Caenorhabditis elegans: one gene and its partner. The protein of the gene in region 1 interacts with the protein of each later gene in a biochemical or structural test. Each region holds a gene or a part of one and is shown in the gene's direction. Other genes may lie near its edges.

The links.
Region 2: the proteins of npp-12 (region 1) and plk-1 interact in a test that uses a peptide from one of them, tested with the Caenorhabditis elegans proteins (one study listed by BioGRID).

What each region holds. Positions count from the first base shown.
Region 1 is NC_003279.8:6,443,210-6,456,856, forward strand, and holds npp-12 (BIG2 domain-containing protein), read left to right. Parts: upstream 1-4,094; 5' UTR 4,095-4,122; coding exon 4,123-4,277; intron 4,278-4,325; coding exon 4,326-4,474; intron 4,475-4,516; coding exon 4,517-4,881; intron 4,882-4,929; coding exon 4,930-5,191; intron 5,192-5,237; coding exon 5,238-5,416; intron 5,417-5,482; coding exon 5,483-6,766; intron 6,767-6,816; coding exon 6,817-7,741; intron 7,742-7,790; coding exon 7,791-8,160; intron 8,161-8,235; coding exon 8,236-8,392; intron 8,393-8,438; coding exon 8,439-8,617; intron 8,618-8,684; coding exon 8,685-9,202; intron 9,203-9,251; coding exon 9,252-9,580; intron 9,581-9,623; coding exon 9,624-9,939; intron 9,940-9,984; coding exon 9,985-10,209; intron 10,210-10,257; coding exon 10,258-10,388; 3' UTR 10,389-10,745; downstream 10,746-13,647. Other genes in the region: T23H2.3 (Transcription termination factor 2), read right to left, coding at 1-357, 701-1,236, 1,846-2,333, 2,644-3,135, 3,187-3,255; mam-8 (MAM domain-containing protein), read right to left, coding at 10,773-11,018, 11,079-11,158, 11,695-12,144, 12,274-12,556, 12,610-12,746, 13,510-13,647.
Region 2 is NC_003281.10:8,097,290-8,108,203, forward strand, and holds plk-1 (Serine/threonine-protein kinase plk-1), read left to right. Parts: upstream 1-4,058; coding exon 4,059-4,304; intron 4,305-4,351; coding exon 4,352-4,951; intron 4,952-5,194; coding exon 5,195-5,521; intron 5,522-5,567; coding exon 5,568-6,014; intron 6,015-6,063; coding exon 6,064-6,177; intron 6,178-6,225; coding exon 6,226-6,438; 3' UTR 6,439-6,780; downstream 6,781-10,914. Other genes in the region: K06H7.8 (Putative serine/threonine-protein kinase K06H7.1), read right to left, coding at 1-122, 165-215, 258-339, 386-504, 551-688, 801-863; K06H7.1 (uncharacterized protein), read left to right, coding at 2,038-2,112, 2,188-2,220, 2,270-2,377, 2,439-2,570, 2,616-2,822, 2,869-3,009, 3,052-3,161, 3,205-3,349. UniProt on the Caenorhabditis elegans protein: Required for oocyte nuclear envelope breakdown before entry of oocyte into spermatheca. In meiotic cells, required for spindle dynamics and probably for spindle attachment to the chromosomes. Zygotic role in the development of the germline and nerve cord.

The sequences.
Region 1 (13,647 bases):
TCAGAGCGCACTGCTGATCCTTAGTTCTTCTGAGCATCAAATTTTTCGTCAGCAAATTCACACGATCCGCCATTCCAGTCTTCATTGGCATAATTGATTCGGCCCAGAACTTCCGATCGCCGAACAACGGGATACGCAAAAACCTCACGAGACTGTACAAATCCCATAGGTTATTGTGAATCGGAGTACCCGAGAGACACCAACGCGAGAATGATGAGAGCCGGCACACTGCTTTTGAACATTGGGAGAGACGATTTTTGATGGCATGAGCCTCGTCGAGAATCACACGGGACCAAGCGACACGAGCAAGAGGGGAGTCGTTTTTGCCAGCAGGGCGACGGGGATTTTCTTCGTTCTCTGGAAAAAATTAATGAAATCGCGGAAAATGGGTTCAAATTTCTGATTTATTTAAAAACATTGGCATTTCAAATTATAGAGTTTTTAGAAAAAACATATGCTGAGTTTTCACAAAAGCAAAATCGTTTTTGTAAGCAATCGATTATTGAATTGGAATGAAATTATACTTTCCAGAAAGTTCTTTTTTTAAAAGAAATAATACATTTCCTTGAAATAGATATTTTTCCCGAAAACTCCCACTTTTTTTGAAAAGAAAATAGTTTTTTTGGAACAAATAACTCATTTTCCAGGGAAATCGGATTGTGATCAAAATTCAGCTTGAATTCAGATTTAAAATTCGTACCTGATTCATCGTCGGAATCTTCCTCTTTCTTGGATCCAGCCGCCTTTTTCTCCATAAGCTCATTGGCTGCCAATGTGTACGTGGTGATGACGACATCATATCTTGCAAGCTCCTTTGGCTCAATTTGTCTCTGTTTCTTTGTTCCATGGAACATAAAAACGGAAAGCAAATCTGATTCGAGTCTTCGATTGATTTCAGCTTCCCATTGGTGAATAAGTGAAGCTGGTGCAATGATTAATGTGCCATTTGATGGATACAATCCTTCTTCTTTTGCCACTCTTCTCTTCTCCTTATCCGCGGCATTATCTCCAGACTCTTTCCGTGCTCTTCTCGCTGCCTTCTGATGCACAATCAATGATAACATTGATAAAGTCTTGCCAAGACCCATATCGTCTGCGAGGATCCCACCCGAATGTGGTTGACCCTCACGCCAGACAAGCCAGCGAAGCCCTGCTTTTTGGTGAGGCATTAGCTCGACGAGGAGCCCGTCGGGTGTGTCCGTGAGGTCTGTTTCAGCTGGGATTGTGTGAGTTGCGCTGAAAAAAGAAGAGATAATTTTAGAGAAGACCATTTTCTTACGGAAATTATATTAATTGTTAGATTATAATTTGAAGGAGAAGCACTATGTTGGGTTTTTGTTTCAAATGATGACTGTTAAAATTGAATTAAATATATTTCTACAATTTCAAATAAAAATCTAAAAAATGTCTGACTTGGCCGTTTTTCGACTGATTGGTTTTCCGGTTTTCGTTTTGTAATTAAAATTTCTTATTCGAATAGCTAATTGAAACACAAAAACAACGCAGAAAAACCGAAAATGTTTTTTGAAAACAAGAAAAGTTGTATTTTTAGTTATATTCGGCCAAAATATGGTATTTTCTATCATTAAAATTTCTATGGTCAAGTTTTTCAGCATGGCATCCACACAGCTTTTGGGAACTGTTTTCAAAAAAACTGTAAGAATCAAAAAAATTTGTTTTAAAATATCTGTTTCCAAGCCACGCCAATTTTTGTGAGCGTGGCTTATTAAAGTTTAAAGAACTTTTGGTTCCCTCAGAATCCACAAATACTCTTTTTTTTTCGTAAAATAGAACGAAGCCGTCAACTGAGACTCAATTTTCTAAGAAACTAAAATTTTTACGAACTCGGCGAGCTGTTGCATCAATCGATCGGAAATCTTATTGACTTTGAGAATTTTCTGCTCTGTCATCCGCCCGCTCATCACTTTTCGCCCATTCTTGTCCAACATCGCCGCGAAATCCTGTGGAATTGGAGCAATCAAGTTTTTTGGCTGTGGTGGCGGGGGAATAGCCGTGGTTTTGTCTACCACCATGGTATCCGTCACTCCATTGATAATTCTTCGTTCAATTTCTTCAGTAATTTCATCAACTTGTAGCTTCACACGTGCTCCATTGTCCGGCAAATTCGATGAAAACTTCAAAAGTTTCAACTTTTTATCTTTGTTTGCTTCCAGCTCTTTTATGCTCAACTTTTGGAGCTCTGAAGCAGTATTTTTTGGAGGAGACGGTTGAGGAGAAGCTTCAGGAGAACCTGGATACGGTGTTTGTGGAGAATTTCCAGAACTTGTTTCAACCGAGGGAAGAGTTGAACGGTTTGGCGGCGGAGAGGTATTCTGTAAATTTATATATTTTTTGACAATAAAGCTGAAATTTTGTGAAAATATCGAAAAAGAGGATATAGATAATAATATCAATTTACTATGTCACATACCGAAGCACTAGCCGATTCCGTTGGGCGAAAATTGGTTAAACACGTCAGACGTTGGCTTGAAAACTTGCAAAAAGTGATTTTCTCGCTTGAAAAATCGTTTTCTAGATAATTTCTGGCAAGTAAAATGTGAAATTTTGGATAAATATCGGAAAAAAGTAAAAGGAAATTTTGAATTTTGAGCCAGCTTTAGGTCAATGTTTCCCCATTCTTACCATTGAATCATCCAAATCGGAAGCATGCCGGAACGTCTTCGCAATTGGCGAAAAATGCGAATTTATGAGATCACTGCTTTCAAGACTGCTATTTTCACCAGTTCCCCATCCACTTCGCGATGAGCCACCTGTCAGATCTTGATCCGATTGCTGTTTGATGGATTTTCTGAGGAGCCGCTCACGGAGCTGCTGCTTTGCGCGGGGCTCATCGGATTCCTGTAGCTTCTTGGTGATCGGGGTCACTGGTTTTTCGAAGCTGTTGTCAATGAAGCTTCTCGAACGATAGTGATCGTCTGTGGAGCATTTAGAGCTCCCGTAGGTGGTGGAGGAACCGGTTCTGGAGATGCTCTGCTTGGAGTTTGGAGTTGATGTGTACACGGTTGAAGCCATGGAATTCAGAGAGGCATCAATAATTGTCCTGGGCGGCTCGGAGCTATCAGTTGATCTCATTGAAGCTGTTTCATCGACTTCAGATGAGGAGCTGTGTCTTTCCTGAAATTCAATAATTTTAAAGCAAAATTCAAATGTTAAACTCGAACAAACCTTGCGATCCTCGTCTTCCGACGAGTCTGAGGAATCAATAATGACGTGATTCTTACGAAACGATGCCATCCTGCAATAATTGTCGTGAAATAAAACAGTTCTGGCTTGAAAATATTGGAAAAAAGAACGTGTTAGGAAAATCTTAACGTAAAATACAAAATTGTGCCTTTAAAAGTGTTTTTCTGAAAACCCCACAAAAATTCAAGGAAAACTGCAAAAACATTTCTTCGCGCAAAAATGGAAGTGCAGTGGAGCGCGCTTGCAATAATTCGAGACAACACGGGTTTTCGTAAACCGGGTCTTGGAGACATAGAAACTCGAGAAGAAACGTCTCATTGTGCACTTTCTGAGCACGTTTTATTGAAAATATCATAAAGTAACTTAAAATAAATAACTGTCAAATAATTTCTGCTGATGAAAACACGTGTTGTCGCAATATGTGTCGAAATGAAAATATCAGGAAAAAACCATAACAAAGAGATCTACGAGCAAATTTGTTAGGTAAAATTTTTTTTGAGGTAATATGAATATATCTTTGATCGAGAAGGAAAAAAGCGCATTTTATTTCACGGTATTAATTTCATGTTTTTTCATGTTTTTTCCCCAATTACGCTTTTTCTTCAGATTCCGAATCTAGAATTATGAACTACGGTCACCAAATTGGTTCATTGTCGTGAAGAACCGCGCCGTGTTTGCGTACAACGAAATAATTTTGAATTTTTTCGCAGAATTTCAGTTTCTTTTTTCTTCAATCCGATCTGAGTTATCGCTAAATTTATTTTTTATTCTACTATTTATTTAATGCATGATCACTATAGTTAATTAACTTTAACTTTTATATTAAATACATAAATTTCTCTCATCTCCACCTGTTTTCCTTTTCCATAAGAGAAATTTTCATTAATTTTTTTGTAGGTAGGAGAGCCGAATAGATCAATGATTATACTTCGATCACTGCTCGTTTTGGCTTTAGTGCAAATCACAATATCATACCGGCTAAATGTTCCTCGAGTTTTATTACCGTACCATCCAACGGTCCCAGTTTCATTTGTGCTGGAAGTAACGCATCCAACCGGAGGTTGTTTTACATGGTAACTCAATGAAATGATCTAATTATTTTTTAATATATTTAATTGCAGGAGATCTACTCGTCCCGATATTGTCTCTGTTAAACGTATCGAAACTAACGAAGCTGGATGTTCGGATAAAGCTGAAATTCGATCGGTTGCGAAGCCTGGAACTGTTGGAAGTTCGGAATTGTCTGCTGTTATTTTTGCAGAAGATAAAGGTATAATTTTTGTGAAATGTTGGTTTTAAAATTTTTATTAAGGATCCGGCACAACATTGAGTTGCGGCGTGACAGTAGATGAGATCGCAACTATTAGCATCGAAACAACAACGAAAGTTCTATTCGTGGACGCTGCCCCTGCTCGAATGACTGTTGACGCATTTAACGCCGATGGCGATCGATTCTCTACTCTCAGTGAAATTGCATTGGAATGGGAGCTTGCATCAACATCTTCAAATAAAGCGAAACCACTACGAATTGTTCCATTCGAGCAATCAACATATGAAGCTCCTTCTGAAATTGTTAAACTGGAAAAGAATCGAAAGAAAGGATATCTAATTCTGATTGAAGGTGTTGGAACAGGAACAGCCACATTGACAACCAAGTTCAGTGATGCTTATTTGCAGGTGAGCAATCTGCAAAACTACATTTACCTAGGATGTTTTTTTTTTCAGAAAGTAGCAGCGCACAACGTCGAACTCGCCGTCGTCGCAAATTTACTTTTGGTTCCATCTCAAGATGTTTACTTGCCAGTTCACTCAGTTCTTCCATTCCAAGTTTTAATTGTCAAGCAGCGTGGAACAGAAATAGTGAACATGCCTAATCCGTCATACGAACTTCAAATTGATGGTGGTGATGTGGCGTCGCTCGATAAAAAAAGTTCATCTGTGAGAGCTCTGACGATTGGAAACACTGCAGTACATCTCTTGAGCAGCCGTGAGTTGCATAAATGGATGTTTCTCGTTCAAAAAGAATTTTTCAGATGTCGATGTGCGCGCTAAAGCTGGATTACGTCCACCATCTACTGTCATTCATGTGGTAGACGCCGAATCTGTCCAATGGCATGTTTCAGGAGATAATTGGATGCTAGAAACCGGAAAACAGTATACAATCAACGTTGAACTTCTTGATGAGCACGGAAATGTTATGTTTGTTGCTGATGTAAGTTAAGCTCTGAAAAATTGAACAAAAAACAGCTGTCAATTTTTAAATTTTACAACTTTTCAGAATTCCCGTTTCGACACTCATATCGATGAGCAATTTCTTCATGTGGATTTCAAGTCTGAGAATGGTACCTGGTTCCTTGTGACTCCACTGAAACCCTCAAAAACTACTCTTCGAACCAAATTTGTTGCTATTATTGATGCCAAGGGAAATCGAATTGCACAAAGTGGCAAAATTGGCGGAGAGCAGCGAGTAACTATCGTTGATCCTGTGAGAATTGTTCCACCGGTTATCTATTTGCCATTCGTATCTGAGAAAAGATCACAAATTGATCTAACAGCAACTGGAGGCAGTGGATTGTTTGAGTGGACTTCTGAAGATGGACACGTGGCAACGGTGGATCTGCTAACTGGAAGAATGACTGCGAATTCATTAGGAAGCACTAAAGTGAAAGCAACTGATAAGAGAAATGATCAGCTTCGTGACATTGCCAGTGTTCATATTCTCGAAGTGTCTGGAATCGGATTTGGAGAAACTGTCCGTGAGACATTCGTCGGAGATACTCTTACATTAAATATCAAGGCAACCGGACTCACATCTGATGGACTTTTAGTTGAAATGTCCGATTGTCGAAATATCCGTGCTCATGTTCAAATTACGGATAATGCGTTGCTTCGGCACGAGTCTTCAGCTGATTCGTCGCTTCCAATGATGGGCACTGGTTGTGGAACAATAACTTTCAAAGGACTGTCATCAGGAGATGCCCGAGTGTCCATCAGTTATTTGGGCCACAAAGCGAGCATCGATGTAGCAGTCTACGAGAAATTGTCTATTTCCGAAGAATCTTCATCAATTGCACTCGGAAGTACTCACCCATTGACTGTGTCTGGTGGACCAAGACCGTGGATTTTGGATCCAGCAAACTTTTACAAAACACAAGAAACAAAGCAATCGCAACTTCAAGTCACATTTGAAAACGAAAAAGTTTTGTTCAAGTGTGGATCTTCAGAAGTAACAGAAGCTGTTCGTCTTCGTATTGGAAACCTCAAATCGTCAACGCTTCCACTTCCAATTCACTCTGAAATTACAGTTTCGATTTGTTGCGCAAAGCCAACTCGTCTTGAAATTTTTGACAAGAAACAACGTCCATCCAAGTGCCCATTGAATGTTCATTCAATGCTTATCAATACAAATGTAGAACTCGTTCTCCGTGGATCAGGAGTTTGTAATGGAGCTGCAACTCCGTTGGCCTCAATCAACGGGCTTTCACCGAAATGGACTACTTCTGATTCTGGTCTTTTGACGGTTAATCGTCATGGAATTGAGGCAGATGCGACTTCTGGAAAGGTGAGTTGATTCTGAAAACTAAGTTTTTTTTCACATAAATATATTTATAGAAAGAAGGCCAAGTTACTATTCAAGCTCAAGCTGGATCTCTCTCCACTAAATATGAAATCACAGTGAAAAAAGGATTGAACGTCGAACCAGCACGTCTCGTTCTTTGGAATGAAGCTGTCTCAAAAGGAACGTTCACTATAACTGGTGGATCTGGCCATTTCCATGTCGATAATCTGCCAACATCAGATTCACCAGTTGCAATTGCTCTCCGTGCAAGAAGTCTCACAGTTACGCCGAAGAATAATGGACAAGTGAATCTTCGTATTTCTGATGCTTGTTTGGTTGGGCAACATGCCGATGCTTCCGTAAGAATTGCTGATATTCATTCATTGGCGATTGACGCACCGCAGTTTGTGGAAATTGGACAAGAAGTTGAAGTAGAGATTCTGGCTCAAGACGAAACTGGAGCTTCATTCGAAAAAGAACATCGTCCACTTGCTGACGCTCAACTCGATGCAAGTAACAATCATGTAATTTTGACCAAAGTTGACGGACTTCGCTACACTCTTCGTGCCAACTCAATTGGAACTGTATCGCTGTCCGCATCATCAAAATCTTCATCAGGACGTGTACTCTCATCTAGACCACACACCGTTCAGATTTTCTCTCCTATTTTCTTGCAACCAAAAAGATTGACTTTGATTCCGGACTCCAAATTTCAGTTAGAAGTCGTTGGAGGTCCTCAACCGACGCCACCACTCGATTTTTCCTTGAATAATTCAATGATTGCATCCATTGAGCCTAATGCACTTATTACGTCGTCAGAACTTGGATATACAGCAATTACCGGAACTGTTCGTGTTGGTGATGGTCATGTTACCTTGGATACTGTTGTTCTTCGTGTTGCCTCTCTCGGTGGAATTATTCTGTCAGCGTCAAGCAGGAAAGTGGAAACTGGTGGAAGAGTAAACTTACGATTAAGAGGTATGTGACACTTTTCTTTCAAAAAAATTAATTATTTTTTATTCTTCAGGAGTGATCGCCGGAGCTGAAGACGAAGAACCATTTGCTTTTGGTGGAGCCATTTACCCGTTCAAAGTAACATGGAGCGTTTCTGATCCATCTGTTCTATTCACAACTCATCCCCTCGGTGGAGATGTAGTCGAACCAACTGATAATCAATTTGCCATTTGGTTCAATGCTATTCGAGGAGGATCGGTTACAGTGAAAGCGGTTGTTGAGCTTAATGAGAAGGCAAGAAAGCATTTCACTGGAAGAACCTCTACTTTCACCGCTGAAACAACAATTACAGTGGAAGATGGACTTTCATTAGTTCAACCAGAAATGGATATTAATACTGTCAGAGTGGCGCCAAATTCTCAATTGAAGATGGTCACTGCATGGTAAGTGAATATTTTTGCAGATTGTTCTCCTTTTAAACAACTCTAATTTCATTAATTCAACTTTATTATTTACAGGTCTCAAGCATCTTTCTCAGTTCCTTCTGATTTCTCGAGCCGGATCGTCATTTCTGCGGACGGTCATTTGATAACAAACGGAAAAGAAGGATCAGCTGCAATTACCGTTCGTAATGTGAACAGCCCGGATAATGAAACTGTTCTCATTCCTGTGACTGTAAGAAACGCTATATTTTTGTAGATTCACTTTTCCCTTTTTTCAGGTTTCTCGTGTCGCTTCTCTCGATGTTCACCCAACAATTGAACTTAAAAGTGCTTTTGAGAATTCTCCACTCATACATCTTCCTGTTGGAGCCCAAATCCAGCTAAACGTTGTTCCACGTGATGCTCGAGGTCGTCGTCTTGCGGCTGCCTCCAACAGTATCAATTTCAGACCACATAGGTAAGGAAAATTCCGATCTTTGAAAATTGTTTTTTTAAGATCCAAGATATTCACGGTATTCTTATAGATTCGACTTGACCGATATTGTCGCCACCAACAGCAATCAGACACTGACAATCACACTGAAAACCGCTGGAGATACTGTTCTCAGAATTGGTGATGCTTCAAATACCCACATTGCTACATTTATTCGTCTTTCTGCGTCTGAATCAATCCTTCCTCGAGCTGCTCACAAGTATGCAAACGATCTTGTTGTATCTGATGTGATTTGTCTTCAATCAAACATTTTCACTGTAGACGGATCTCGCTGGTCGTCTCAAAGTTCAAGTGAAGGAAGAATCAGTTGGCTCGATGAGAATCTCGGAGTTGCACAACTCACAAAGGCTGGAAATACTTTTATCAGACTTCATGCTGATAAACAAACAATTCATTCGAAGATCTCCGTTGTATTGCCATCTTCTCTTCGTTTCCCTGATGGTCAGAAACCAGAGTTTGTGAGCAATGATGAGCATTCGGTATTCGTAATTCCTGTCATTGCTGCAACCAATAATACTTCAGGAAGCAAAGTTTCGTCAATTTATGGAGGTGAGATTTGCTGTTGTTTCACATTTCATCCTCATCTTTGTTGTTTCAGAGTGCACTGCTGATCAAATTCGATCATTTGATGCGATTGGTGCTCCATTTGAATGTCAAGTTGCTTTCACTCGTCGTTCGAAGATCATTTCGGCTGTCAATTGGCTGACGGTTTCAGCAGTTTTCAGCCCAGTTTTTGGTTATGGGTGTGAAATTCGTCGATTTGATTCGAGTGTCTCAACTTCATCAATTGTTGTTCCCGAGGAACTATTGAAAGATCAATTTGATGCTAGAATTACTGCGAAATGGATTTCAGATGGTACAGTACAAGTAAATGATGCTACAATTGATGTTCCATTCCATTTCGCATTTATTGTCGAGGAGAAGGAGGTCAGTTACACGAAGTTTTTTTTTAATATTTTACTTTTTCCAGCTCGTATTCTCAAATATGAATCAAATCGAAGCAGCTCTCTCCATCTGGGCGCCTACATACGACTCGAAGCACATAGTCGTTTCTGGATGTGAAGGAGATATTGTATCGGTCGAGAAAACCTCAAGATCAAGTGATAAACATTCTGCAAAGGCAAATGTGTTCTATAACATCCGTCTCAACATCAAATCAGCAGCTCTGTTCACTGAACATGCAAAGAAATGCCAAATTTCTGTTGAGAACACGTTGACTGGTCAAGTGATTCGTGTTCCTGTCACTGTTCAGTTGTTGGATGAGACTGCTAAACAAGTATACAACGGTAAGTTTCAACTACAGGATTCAATAAAATTCCTAATCGTTTCAGCACTTGAAAGTCGTGGGGTAGTAGATGTTCTTCTGATTCTTGCACATAAGTACTCTCACGCTATTCCAACGTTGCTGTGGACTTGTCTTGTCGGAATCATCATTCTAGTTATCGGAATTTATGTTAAGATGAATGTATTCGATAAAACTGGCTCATTTGGTGATAATACTCTCAATAACACGACACATCAAACATCGATGGCGAGCTCTTTGAGTAGCACAAATGGTGCGTTAATTTCTCTATCAGCCCAGAGTTTTTATAAATTAATTCCAGTGAGTCTTCGCGAACCAGTTTTTCGTTCAACGCCAATTGCTGGATCACCACAAGTATCCCTTCCGACGGCTCGCGATCGTCTTCGCAATCAAATGGGATCAGGTGGAGACAATAGACTTTGGTCTTACTAAAATCCCTTCATACTTTTTGTTGTTTATGTGAATTTTGTATTCCCTTGTTGTTACACTTATATCTCCAAACATATTTCAAGTCCCACCCATCCACTTTCAGGAAGTTTTAGGGTTATTTCTTTCGTCTCTTTCCACCTCTAAACATTTTTTCAATCTCTAAATTTATTGTATCATGATTGTGAACTCTAATTTGGTTAATTTCCGTTTTCTCACTCCCCAGTTTACGAGTATTCGATGTTCCCCCCAAATCCCGATTTTCAAATATTTTTTATCCATAATTCATATCTTTTATTTTATTGTTATTATATTTTGTTCACAGTGAACTGTTTCAATATTAAATTGACTTTATCATTTTTATACAGAAAACCTAGTTAGAAGTAATAATTAAAAATGGAAGGGCAGTCTTGCATTGCTAAGCGGAATCAAAGGGTTCGAAAAAGAGGTGATTGGGAAAATTGGGATTCCACGAGCCGAAACAAGAGTTGGAGATATAGGAAGTATTCCAACAGGAGAAGCTAGAGATGATGGTTTTTCATCTGAATTAAATGAAATTGAAGGAGTCGGAGGAATAGGAAACAATGAAATTGGTGAAGTTGTTGATATTGGTGGTTGATAAAGAATTGATTCAATCTGAAAAAAATATTTGTTTCAGATTATTTTCTTGGCTAAACGAAATTTCTTATAATTTACCGGTAACATTTTTAGATTCTGAAGAGCCGTCAGGCGAACCAATTGATTGGATTGTGGTTGGACTGGTGACGTCACTTGATCTAAAATTATCTAAAATTTATGAGAAACTCAACAGTATTTATTTGTTTAACTTCTGGCGCACAACTTAATTTTTCCAAATCGTCTCCACCAGTTCAAAAGTAGAATATCGTCATTGGTGATTTTCTATAAATACACTTCCAAAATAACCAAATATAATAATGAAACACTCCAAAGACGTTTTAGATGTTTCCAAATTTTCTGTCATTGATTCGGTAACTTGCCAAATTTAACCAAAAATGTAGATTTTATGAATTACTTCGAGCATTATAGTAGGTTCCAAACCTAGACAGTTGAAAAATTTCTAAAAAAGTACTTTGGGGTACTGTAACTTTCAATTTTTATCCTAGAATAAGCAACTTCCCCACTGACGATACTCTATCTTTAATTGATCCGGTACAAATTTATTTGAACCTTTGTAACTTCATATTATAGAAAAAATGAGGGTGAACAACTTTCCTCGGCCTCTGCTCAACCACAGGAAAACGCCCCTGGAATGCCTACAGAAATGCACCACTAAAAGTATAAAATAAATTACCACACGTTAAAGTCTTTGATTCTCCATCGACGAGATCAATTGAGGAGAAAGCCACAAAATCGTTTGCACCAGTTATAGATTTAAGAATTAGAATTACTGGAATTCCTTTTGGAACTGATTCCAATGAAATTAAAACTCGATTCCATCCATTTTGAGTTCCAGTTGAATCGGGAATTGATGAATCCTCTTTTTCAGTCCATATCACTTTTTCATTCATTGAACCAATATTTCGAAATGATAAAGAAGTCACAGATCCTTGACTATTAAACATTTGTAATTGAATGAAAGATGGTGCATCAATTGGTAAACGAACTGGAGAAGATGTCAAAGTTGATTCACCAGCTGCTTCATTCACAATTTTAGATGGAAGAAGTTGAATATTCGTTGATTGCCAGGAACAAATTGAAGAACGAAAATGACAAGAGATTGGAGTACATACATTTGATAATTCTGAATTTTTAAAAGTTATAGAGATGGTCCTTGGGATTTTTGTAGAATATTATTCGCATTAGTAAAAAACAAGGAAAGAACGAAAAAAACGTTTTAGGGATCCGAATATTGTCTACAATATCAACTTACTTGAACTTCTCCGAATTTCTCTTCTTCGTATATCTTCTTCATCAAAAAACTTGGAATCTTGTCCCGCCCACATAACATTTGCAGGTGTTGCCACGTCAATTTCATCGACAGCAATGATATCTTCAGCAGTTTGAATATTATCACATTCAAATATAACACTTGTTTGATTATAATCTGGAATTGGAGGAAAAATGACACTTCGACGATGCCATTTGATTCTTTCTATCTCATTTGAGGATATGGTATCAAGTAAGATCTCGTCTGTTTGGTTTTTTAAAAGAATCTGAAATTATAAGTAAGAGTTTTCATAAATTTCAAACTAAAATGGGAAAATACCCTCAAAGTCGCCATTCCACGACGTTGATACCGATATGCAAGTATTCTCATATGATCTGATTTTGAGATTTTCTGAGAAGTAACTCTTGACGAGGGCACTGATGCGAACTTTCCTTGTGCAAGTAGGAATGGTCCTTCTGAAAAACGAGCGACTTTAAAATTCCCCATTTATGTTAGAGTGCGCAAGTTTCAAAGGACACACTTGGTGACCTTCCTAGATTTTTCAAAACTTGAAGTAAATGGTTTCAGTATACTAAATTACTTTCTCAATGTTTTCATTGTTACTACACGAAAATTACGAGTACAGAAGCGGATATTTAAGATTCCAAATTTCGGCATTTTGCCAAAAGATTGACCTAAAACATTGATGATTGTACAAAATTGTAGATTTTCAAATATATATATTTAGTACTTTTGCCCCAATTCGAGTACATGTTTAGAAAAACTATAACTAAAACTGAAAAGAAAATTGTAAAAGTACAGATAACTGTAACTGATATCTCGCCACGATTCGAATAAATCGCGATTCTACCGTAGTCTCAATGAGAAAAACGGCCGACGTGGTACATTCCGTAGAACATGATCTTTAAAAATGTCGGTAACTTTTTTAACATGTGACATCATCCGTGAGGGTCTACTAGACTGCTTGAATCTATGTGACTATAGTAAAATCGCGGCAAGAAATCGTGGTGATGAGCACATTGCGATCTACCGTATAAAACCTGTTTTGAGATAGTAGATGATTGTTGTGAATCTTTGTGCAAATAATAAATTAACCATTGAAGCTAAATTTCAGGTTCTCCGATCGGCCAATGTATTTAGTCATTTCGATTTAATAGTGAACATGCTATACACGAGATGTAGTCTAGAAGACATTAGAAAATACATTTAATTTCTCACCAGAAGTGATAACATCGGGTGTCTTTGAAATATTTAGTAGTCCAGGATGCTGATGACGTGGAAGAATTGCCAACGAGACAACATTCCACGGAGGTCTGATATCCCATTCACAGGTTCCTTCGTTGAATGTACATAACT
Region 2 (10,914 bases), on another chromosome or scaffold:
CCACGGAAATATGTTTTCTCACGTGGACGACGCATCTTCAATCCATCGTCTTCGTCGGCAATGTATTGACGGGCCAATCCGAAATCAAGCACGAGAAAATATCTCTCGTCAGCTGAGCCCTTCTGTAAAAAACTTCATTGATGGTTATACATTTCTAGACTCACACAACCCATTGCCACGTTGGCAGGCTTCAAATCCCGATGAAGATATCCAATCTAAATGTTAAAATTTGTTTGATATCATTCAACTTCACCTACGTCATGAACCTGTTTGATTCCGAAAAGGATACAAATACCAATTCTAACTTGAGTGGAAACATTCAGAAAAGGTCCGTGCTTTCTGAAACTCAATTATTTCAATAATTTTTCACTTTTAGACAGCCTACTTAAGAAGTGAATCGAGACTCTCTCCAAGAAGGGTCATAACCATATATGAGTACCTCTCCTTCTTCCCACTAGCCACACATTTTGCAACGTGCTTTTTCGAAATGAGCTGGGAGAGAATCTGAATAACAACGACCTGAGACCCTTAACTATAAGCTAAATCTTACCTGGACTTCCATTTTGAGAATGTTACCAGCATCTTGAGACTTGAACTCAACTTTCAGTGCATAGTGTTGACCCTTCTCCGATGTGTCTTCAACTTTGAAGACCGAGCCACAACCACCTTCACCTAGTTTTTGAACGACCTTAAGTACTCTTATAGATCAACTAAATTTTGACATTTTGATTAATGCCAGTTGGCAGGACCAACTCACTTACTAAACCACCATAATCTACGCGCAAATTCCCGCAACTCACCTTGTATCTTTTCCCGACAACCGCTCCAATTTCTAGCGTCTCTTCACCAACGTCTCCCGGCATTTTGCGCTTGAATTGAAAATACTACTTGATACTACAAAACAGATCAAGTGAATTTTGAAAAATGAATCAAATAGCCAAAAATGTGGACACTTTGTACGTGTGGATTTAATTGAAAGTATAAATTTTGGAATGAAAAGTTCAACACGTCGGTCACAAGGACTTTTTATTGTTAAAGTTTTGGTAAATTGCCAAAATTTTCAAAAATGTTCGAGCCTTTAAAATGTTGAAATACAAAAAATTGGAACGCAATTAAAATATTTTTTTTTTTTGCCCGACTTCCAAATGTTATGACAGGAGAACAATGAGTTTTCACCACTTTATGGCTGAAAATAAAAACATTTCAATAATTTTTTTAATAGTTTACTATGCCATTCGGAAATTTTAGCACTATGAAACTGTGAGGTGCCAGTAGTATAAACTTCCAGTAATTTTGGTTGTCAGAAAGCAAAAAGTTAACTTGCCTGCCTTCGTGCCTACCTTAAATGTTTTAAAGCGTCATTCTTTGAAATTTAAAAAATGGTTCATTTTTTGAACTCACGAACTCTAGACTTTTCCTCTATTAAAAATGTTCCCATATTCCTTATAAACGTGCATTTTTTCATCTCTCTTCCGCCTCTCAAACTCTTTCAATTGGCTTCACTTGTTGTCGGGCGGTCTCTTCAAGCTACTCATTGAGCCATTTATACCTTCATCTGTCTGGACTTTCTCTTCTCTGTTTCATTATTTTCTAAATTTCATTTCCTTCTTTCTCTTTTCTGTTAGAGTTCCTTTTTCCTGCTGCATAATTAGTAGGTTGTCCCACTTCAATTTTCGATATCTCGTGACTCGCCGCGGCGCCGAGGCTTTACGTTTTCAATTTGAATATAAATATTCATTTTTGACTCACAGCTAATATATAATTTGATAGAGATTCATTTTTCAAAATACCACATAATTTTAGTTTTTAACCCAATCTTTCAGATTACCTAGATGTAAATATTTACAACAACTTTCAATAGTTGACGTAACACCCTTCACAGACATGTTTATTTGGATAGTTCTTCCATTGTTTCATCGTTTTTTCTATTCAAATTAATCAAAATCCAATATCCTAAACCCTTCGCCTTTTTTCTTAATCGCCGACCCACTGGTGAACAAACATTCAGATTCATCTCTTTTTGGCACATTTCAGAAAATGTTGCAACCCAATTTTCGTCGGTTTGAACCTTCTTACAGCTGGAAGTCTCGGGAAAAATCTACTGAAAATCGGGTTAGTTAAAAACTTTAATTAATTTAACTTTTTTTAATGGTAGATTTGCTATTCAAGAAAATTTACTTTTTTAAGGGATTTCTATCACGGATGTGTGGAATTAAACAGGTATAGTTTGACTCGATCTTTGCAATAAACTAGAAATTTTTTCATTTAGAAAATGAATAAATACAACTGTCGTGGGAAATATCAAGAGACCAATGACCAGAATTTAATGCAAGATTCAGGATATTCACTGAAAATTATAAGCTCTGGTGATGAACAGGTTTTTAAATTGAAAATAATCACATTCCTCATAATATTTTAATTAAATCATAAATTTTTAGATTACAATTGTATATACAAGTCGACTAGGAAAAATGAAAGATCTCCAAGTTCCGGAGATTGAAATTTCAGGAGTTCTTTTGGAAAGATTGGAAGCTTGTAATTATAGGCTTGACGAGCTTTTTATAGACTTGGTAGTTAAAAAATTAATCTGAATTCCGCGTATTTTGATATTTCAGAAAGCAAGCAAATGTATTTGTAGTTCGAATGAGCTTTTGAACATTCCAAAAATCATCGTTAGAAGGCTTTTTCTAAAAATGGAATCTCTGGAAATGTTGGAGTGGTGGATTGAAAGAGTTGATCCGAACTCTCTAAATGAGCTGTGTATTGCTCCTCATGGAGAATATCCACTTGATATTCCGTCCAAGATATTTGATCTTCCACATGTAAGTATGTTTATTTTTGAATATTTTTGGTACAATACATTTTCAGTTCCAAAATTGCAAAACACTGAGTATTATGGAGCACTGTTCTTTCTCAACCGACCAATTTCTAGCATTGTGTATTGCAATTCCAAATTTTTCTTTTTATTCGGACAGAATTGATGAAAATATAGTTGCTCATGCGATAAAGGTATTGAAAATCATCATGGAATGAAGAATTGTTATTTTTCAGAAACGTCTCAGCTTAAATGATCAATTTGTTGTCCTAGAATGGTTTTTCACTAAACACGTGAATGTTGAAAAAGTCACAGGAGATTTGAAGTGTACGAATTATGATAGAAAGTGAGCAGAAAACTGATGTTAGGCAAACTAGAATTAATTTCAGAGAGCGCTTTGATGTCAAAACTGAGTGCTTCGAGCCAGTTGATGTATACAGTGTTCCAGATGAGAATAACAAGAAAACGTCCTTGCTGGTTTTGAAAGATTCAACTGACAATTTCAAACCGTATAACATTGTTGCGTTTTCATAATTTTATGTTTTGAGATGCCGTCTTGGAAATATAGTGTTTTTGAAGCTAAATATCCTATCTCATGTATTAAATAAAATTGTTATAGTATCTCTTTCCATCCATTTTAATCGTCAAAGAAAGGCGTGTAAACCACGAAAACTTACCACTAATCCAAAAAGAGAAGCTGCCTTCTCTCCAAATGACGGTAAGACGTGGAAGACACGTGGTAAAAATGTATTACGTACGCCATAAAATATACGTATTAATCCATTTAAAATTAATTTTTCTTTTATTAACATCTGGCATCGTTTAACACACGTGCAAATGTTCTGTTACAAGCCCAAAAAGGTTCGTTGCTAATTTTTAAAACATTAATGTACAAAATTATTGCAGAAAGTACATTGAATAATAAATTTTTCAATTTTTAAAACCGTTTTTTAAATCAATGTCTCCGTGATATTTATGTTTGACCAGAAAATGTTTGATCGATGACAGCGCGCTGTTTTGTTTAGCACCCTTTTTCATCGGCGCGTAAATCGACACACGGTTCGCTGCGAGACCTGCGCCCGCCAAGCATCAACATTCGAATTTGCCGTCCGCCATTTTCGTCCTAAAATGACTTTTACCGATTCTTTTTCAAGTTTCCAGCTCGCCTCTTGTCATTTTTAGAAATAAAAACGTTTATTCAATTATTAATACTGAATATTTTAATTTTTGTGTTGCATTTCAGATGAATCGACTTCCCAACATTGCAAAACCCCCACAAAAGTCCAACCAAAGAAAGGAGAAGGCTCCACCAGAGGTTCCCGCTCTCATCGCCGACAAGGATCGTGGGACCTATTATGAGAAAGGACGATTTTTGGGCAAGGGAGGATTCGCTCACTGTTATGAGCTTACGAATCGAGCAACACGCGAGGTTGTCGCTGGAAAAGTGGTTCCGAAGTCGATGCTCGTCAAGCAATACCAGAGAGATAAGGTAGACAATGAACGAATCTTAGTTCAGTGCATATTACGATTTTTCAGATGACACAAGAGGTGCAGATTCATCGAGAGCTTGGACACATCAATATCGTGAAGTTATTCAACTTCTTCGAGGACAATCTCAACGTGTATATCACTTTGGAGTTATGTGCAAGACGGTCGCTGATGGAGTTGCACAAAAGAAGAAAGGCGGTCACCGAACCTGAAGCTCGTTATTTCACTCATCAAATTGTGGATGGCGTGCTGTATTTGCATGATCTGAACATCATTCATCGTGATATGAAGCTTGGAAATCTTTTCCTCAATGATGATCTAGTTGTCAAAATTGGAGATTTCGGATTAGCAACAACGGTCAACGGTGATGAGAGAAAGAAAACGTTGTGTGGAACGCCAAACTACATAGCTCCGGAGGTTTTGAACAAAGCTGGACACTCATTTGAAGTTGACATTTGGGCAGTTGGATGCATTCTGTACATTCTTCTTTTCGGACAACCACCATTCGAGTCTAAATCGCTTGAAGAGACATACTCACGCATTCGCCACAACAACTACACCATTCCGTCGATCGCAACACAACCAGCAGCAAGCCTAATCCGCAAGATGCTTGATCCTGAGCCAACACGTCGTCCGACTGCCAAGCAGGTAATTTCAATAGTTTTGAACTGGAGTGAAAATCATTTTAGTATTATCGGAGATTCGAGTTTCATCATTAGAAAATTTGTACTTTTGAATTTTATCGTGAACTTTTATTGAGAGATAGTTCACGTTCAGTTTGATTGCCCTTCGTTCTAATTAGTAAAGAGATCGAAAACAATTTTTAAAAAATCAGTTCGAATATTTAAATAAGTTATGAAATCTCTTCAACTCGGAATGAAAACCCTACAGGTTCAACGCGATGGCTTCTTCAAGTCAGGATTCATGCCGACTAGACTTCCAGTCTCCTGCCTCACTATGGTGCCAAAGTTCGGAGGACACGAAACTTCGATGATGGAGGAAAATGTTGCTCCAAGAGGGGTTGATGCTCGTTCACAACGCCCATTGAACGGAAGAGCTGGATTGTCTGCCCTCCCACAACACATCGTGTCGAACAATGCCGATCGTGAGCGTGCTCAACAACAAGCTGCAGAGGCGACTTTCCGGGAGCCCGAGGATGCATACCTTTCACAACTTTTCCACCAAGTTGCTGTGCTCTTAGAGCAGCGTATTCCAGGGGTAAGAATAAACAAGAGGTTTTTTTTAAATTAAAAGTTTGTTACAGCTGGAAGAAGAAGAAGCTGCTCTTGATGGTTATCAATCACCAGAGTGCCTCCCGGTTTTCTGGATTTCGAAATGGGTTGACTATTCGGACAAGTATGGCATCGGATATCAACTATGTGACAATTCCGTCGGAGTTCTCTTCAATGACAATTCTCGTATCATGCTTGATCAAGCTGGAAACGAGTTGACCTATATTGAGAAGAGCAACAAAGAGCACTACTTCTCGATGCACTCAGGTGAAATGCCTGGATTGCTCAACAAGAAAGTCACATTGCTTAAGTATTTTCGATCCTACATGAATGACCATTTGGTGAAAGCTGGAGAAGGATCTGAACAAAGAGCTGGTGATGACTTGGCTCGTTTACCAACGCTTCGAGTTTGGTTCAGAACCAAATCAGCAATTGTTTTGCACCTTTCCAATGGAACTGTTCAGATAAATTTCTTCAATGTAAGCAAATTCATAATTTAATGGAAACACCCAACAATATAATTTTCAGGATCATGTCAAGATGATGATGTGCCCATTAATGCAAGCAGTTACATTCATCGATCAAAACAAGCGTATGCTCACCTACAAGCTGAACAATCTTCAGCGCAATGGATGTCCAGAGGTTTGAATCGCCATTTCAGTATCAACAAATATAACGTATAATTTACAGAAATTCCTTCACCGACTGAAGTATGCGAAGACAATGATCGAAAGGTTGATGAGCGATGCTAACGTTGTATCCCAGAATCCAGCTCGTCAACCGGATATGCCACGGTCAATGGCAGCTGCTCGTTCAGCTTCGGCAGGATCACGAGGACCAAATCAAGCTGCATCGCACCTTCCCCAGTCGGCAAGTGGATCCAATATTCACCCACGTCGATAGATCCGTATGTGCTCTTTGCCACTTCCATGAATTTGCTTACATCTCCTGATTAATTCCAAGAAGTATTATTCTATACATTTAACCCGTACTCTTCATTTATTGTTGCTGTTTTTCATCGACCCTTTTAGTCCCATGTTTCAGCATCCAACATGTCTTTATTCCCCGTCCTCGATCTCCCGTAGCTCATTTCATTGTAAATACTGATGAGACCCGCTGTAGCCCTTTTTCATTCGTTTGTATTCATGGGCGAGGCGATTTTTATTTTGCGTTTTTATTTCTTTTTGCTAATTGAATCATCTTTTTTTGGTATTAGTCCCACGAAATAAAACGTACCGATGATTATTAAACTGTATTCTTCATTTTTCCAAACTTTCTCGACAATTTCATTTTTGGTAGATAGCAGCACATTGGGAAAAATCAAGTTGAGCTGCTCATCTGCCTCAACTTTCCATTTCAGAATTTTCGAAAAAGCGTGTATAATATTTACTGATTCCGAGACAATTATTTGAACATGATTGTTACAAAGATCACGGTCGCAAAGTAACAAATGTTCTGTTTAATTACTTGCCACTCTGAACAGTTTCCGTCACTTATTTTATATCCAAACAGGTTCGATTCCAAATAGTCTCAAATTATGCCAATGGGATCTGCTTTACTGTAACAGTTGGACATAAACTGTTATATGAAATCAAAAATACAATAGTTTAAATTGTTTTTGCTCTCTGCTTGAATTTTGGATTTCTAGAGATCTAGAGCAGAGCTGAGCAGCCGGCCAAAAAAATCGGCGATCGCCGATGAAATTTTTTTTTCGGCGATCGCCGATCACAAATTGCCAAAAAAAAATCGGCGATCGCCAATTGCCGATTGCCGATCAGTGTGCGTCTAATTTTTTTCAATTTTAAAATCCTAATTTTAAGAGCTCTTTCAAATAATTTTTTATAAAAACAGGAATATTAGGCAACGAAAAGCACTCCTTGATACCTTAAAATTCGAAAAGTAGTGAAAAATAGTCCGAAAATATACCTTCTTCCTTCTTCAGAGGGGTCTATCTTGGACTATAAAATTTCATCGGCAATCGCCGATCGCCGACCCGTTTTTCCCTTTCGGCGATCGGCGATCGCCGATTGCCGCTCACCCCTGATCTAGAGACCATCGATAGCGCATCATCGTCAGACCTGCCTCTTCACCTATGCGTAGGTAGACCTACGACCACCGTTTGATCAACCACAGATGCGTCTCGTCCACAGTAACTCGTTACTTTGTTATATTCTTTTTGATATAATATTTTCCCGTTTCCTCTCGCCCTTGTTTTGTTGGACCCAATGTCTATTTGTTTTGTTGGTCCCATCCCCTATAAAAGGCTTTCTTGGATGTTTTTCCCACGTTCTTATCTTTTTATCCCTGTTCCCTAAGCCCTTTCCCCTTGTCGTTGTTTCTTGTTGTTCCCCTCATAAATTAATTACTTATATAAGACAACTTTTACTAAGCAAACGCAAAGTTTAAAGATTTTTGCGCCAAAAATACAGTACCCGGTCTTGACACGACATTTTTGTTAAATACAAACGGAAGTGCGCCTTTAAAGAGTACTGTAATTTCTAGCCTTAGTTGCTGTGGGATTTTCTTCGATTCTTCGTGGTTTCTCTCACGATTTTTGTTTAAAAAAATCTAAATATGCGTTTTCAGTTGTTTTATTTTAGTTTTGTAATATATAAAATTTTTTAAATGAGAAAGAAAAAAAAAAAAATTTTTAAATGAGAAAATCGACGAAATTCCGCCGTAACATTCTACTGGTTGCATATGTAATCCTGAATAAAAAGTCAAACATTGAAAAAAAAAACAAGAAATAGGATTGAGAAGGATCTTGTCGATTCCTTTACAATCAGGTGTATAGTTTGATTCTCTCGATTTTCCACTAACATCTACAGTTTGAACTTTATCTTCAAATTCGAGGGGTTTCGGAATGAGGGAACTGAGGGGAACCGGTCTAATTGAGAGATTTCAGAGAATGTTGCATTTCATGTTGAATGACGCTTCTTCTTCTTCCCCTTTTTGAATGAATAACAACTGTTGTCCAAGAAAACGCCGACGGACGACGCAATTGATGGATCGAAGGAGGGTGAATCCGTGTCGCCGCGGAAGACGGTTTGCCATTAGAATTGTCTCCTCTTTTTCTCTCCTCATCATTTTCCATGCATCACCCCCAGCTTTTCGCAACAACGTCTATGTTACCCGTTTCAGATATGACAAGACATAGAGAAAGAGAGAGGAGGGTAAGGTTCTACAGACAGAAATAATTAGAAAACGTTTCACTGAGTCATTAGAAAAGTATACCCGTAATCATTGTTTTGTCACGTCATGACAGTAATATGTGTAATTCGAAGTTTCGTTTTGTTCCTCATCCAAGTTCAATAAAGCAATTTCACAGACAAACTGTAATTTCCATACTGCGTGATTTCAAAGTTTGATATCCAATTTTTACGACTTTGTGAAACTCGTACTTAACGGCGCACGGATTCATTTGGATGGGTCTCGCCACGAAGAAAAGGTTATGGTACCAATTTCTGAGTTTCGCATCGAAACTAGAGATTTCGTGGCGAGACCTATCTGAATATTTATCTGTGCGACTATTACTTAAAGAGTGACTTTAAAGTAGATCTCGGTGAAAAATAACTCTATTTTATTTTACGAGAAAAGCCGAGTTATTTTCTAATTGACAACTCCTATTTTTGGTTGTATTTTGCCAATCAAAAGTTTTAAAGAAACTGCAGGCTACCCAAGCTGATCTGTTATAAATCTTACGCTTGAACTAAACTCTACAAACTCTTCAAAAGCAATGCTCGTTCTCACACTACTCCCTTCCCTCTATGTCTCTCGCTCCTTGGCATGTATTTTTCATGTAGGCCTTTACCAGCACGTTGAGTCGCCGCTTCCGTAGCGCAGTAGGCAGCGCGTCAGTCTCATAATCTGAAGGTCGTGAGTTCGAGCCTCACCGGGAGCAAGTGCTTTTTTGCCCAATCGGAATATGCTATGTTATCTAGATGAGTTTTTGGTTTCACTTTTTCTTGCTTCTCCAATTTTAAGCTAAACCGAGACCGAACACCGAATGTGTAACTCTTTTGACTATTTTATAAGTGAAGCTGGTATCATTTCGATGCATCAGTTTGCAAGTACATACCCATTGCTATGTACATAATAAGATTTACTGGTTACTGACTTGACAGTCATGTCTTCTTTTTGTCGTCGCTTTCTTCTAAGCGCGAATAACAACTCCCTTTGTGTCTACATGTTTGTTTTATTAAATTAATACGAATTTTATTATTGGAAGAAAACTACTCCCCACATAATTTTTACATCTAATAAAATTTTAAAATAATCTTTAACTACCCAATAAAACACCAACAGAAATTTTATTACGACAGTTTTCTTCCAGACTTGTCTTAATTTAGACTAACAAAAAGTTTTCAGAGTTTTGTTTTGAAGTCCGATAACTTTTAGTTACTTTGAGAATAGATTCTTCAATCTTTGCTCATATATTTCAGAAATAATACCCTGATGGTAACCAAGTGATCACATTGACCGGACACTACGATTTCGAAACAAAGCATGATAAGCAGCTAGCTTTCTTGTCTTCTTGTATAACCTGATATATTCATTTCTCGAATCATTCTTCTCTTTTTTCTTCTATTGTTAACCTTTTGTCTACGTCTCATCATCTCTACATATTTTCATTGTTCTCTATTGGATCTCTTTCTAAAAAGTGTCCAAAAAAACTGACTTGGCGGTCACTTTTTGGCGCAAGTACCTGTTTGGTCTCAGTTGTTGTGAAAGTACTTTACAAAATCATTTCAAAATTAAAATTGATCTTCACTTATGCGAGTTTACCTTAAAACTTTTGGAATCATTTCTAAATACACTAGAAAATTTGTTGTGAACATGCAAAAAACCATGAAAAAGGAGGAGTCTATTTGGACGTTTACCTAACTATAAGTTCCGTCATTTTTTATTTTCTTATCAGTGCTCGTTGCTTTTAAGAACTTATATAAAGGTAATACCGTTGAAAAACATCTGCACAATCTTCTCGATTATGTAATTTTCTAAAAAATAAACACCGTTCATATCTTGGTCTTTTCATGTTTTGAAATGTTTTTTGATCTAAGTTTATTTATTTAATTGTTTTAAGATGGATTTAAAATTGACAAATTACATTTCCGGCATTATTCTGCTTCAAACTGTCTTCCACAACAAAAATTACAAAAATTTCATTAACGAAGTTTCATAATTTTTCTCAGAGAATGTTTCTTCTGAAAAGAGCATGCTTACTTTCTTTCAACTTACTTTCAAGGTTCAGTGATCATGCCAATTAATTCAATTTAATTAATTTAAACGATCACTTCAATTAGCTATCCATTATCTTTTTCTTATCTTCCGCACTTTTAACAGAAAAAGTCTAAAAGAAGTCTCTCTCTATCTCACCTG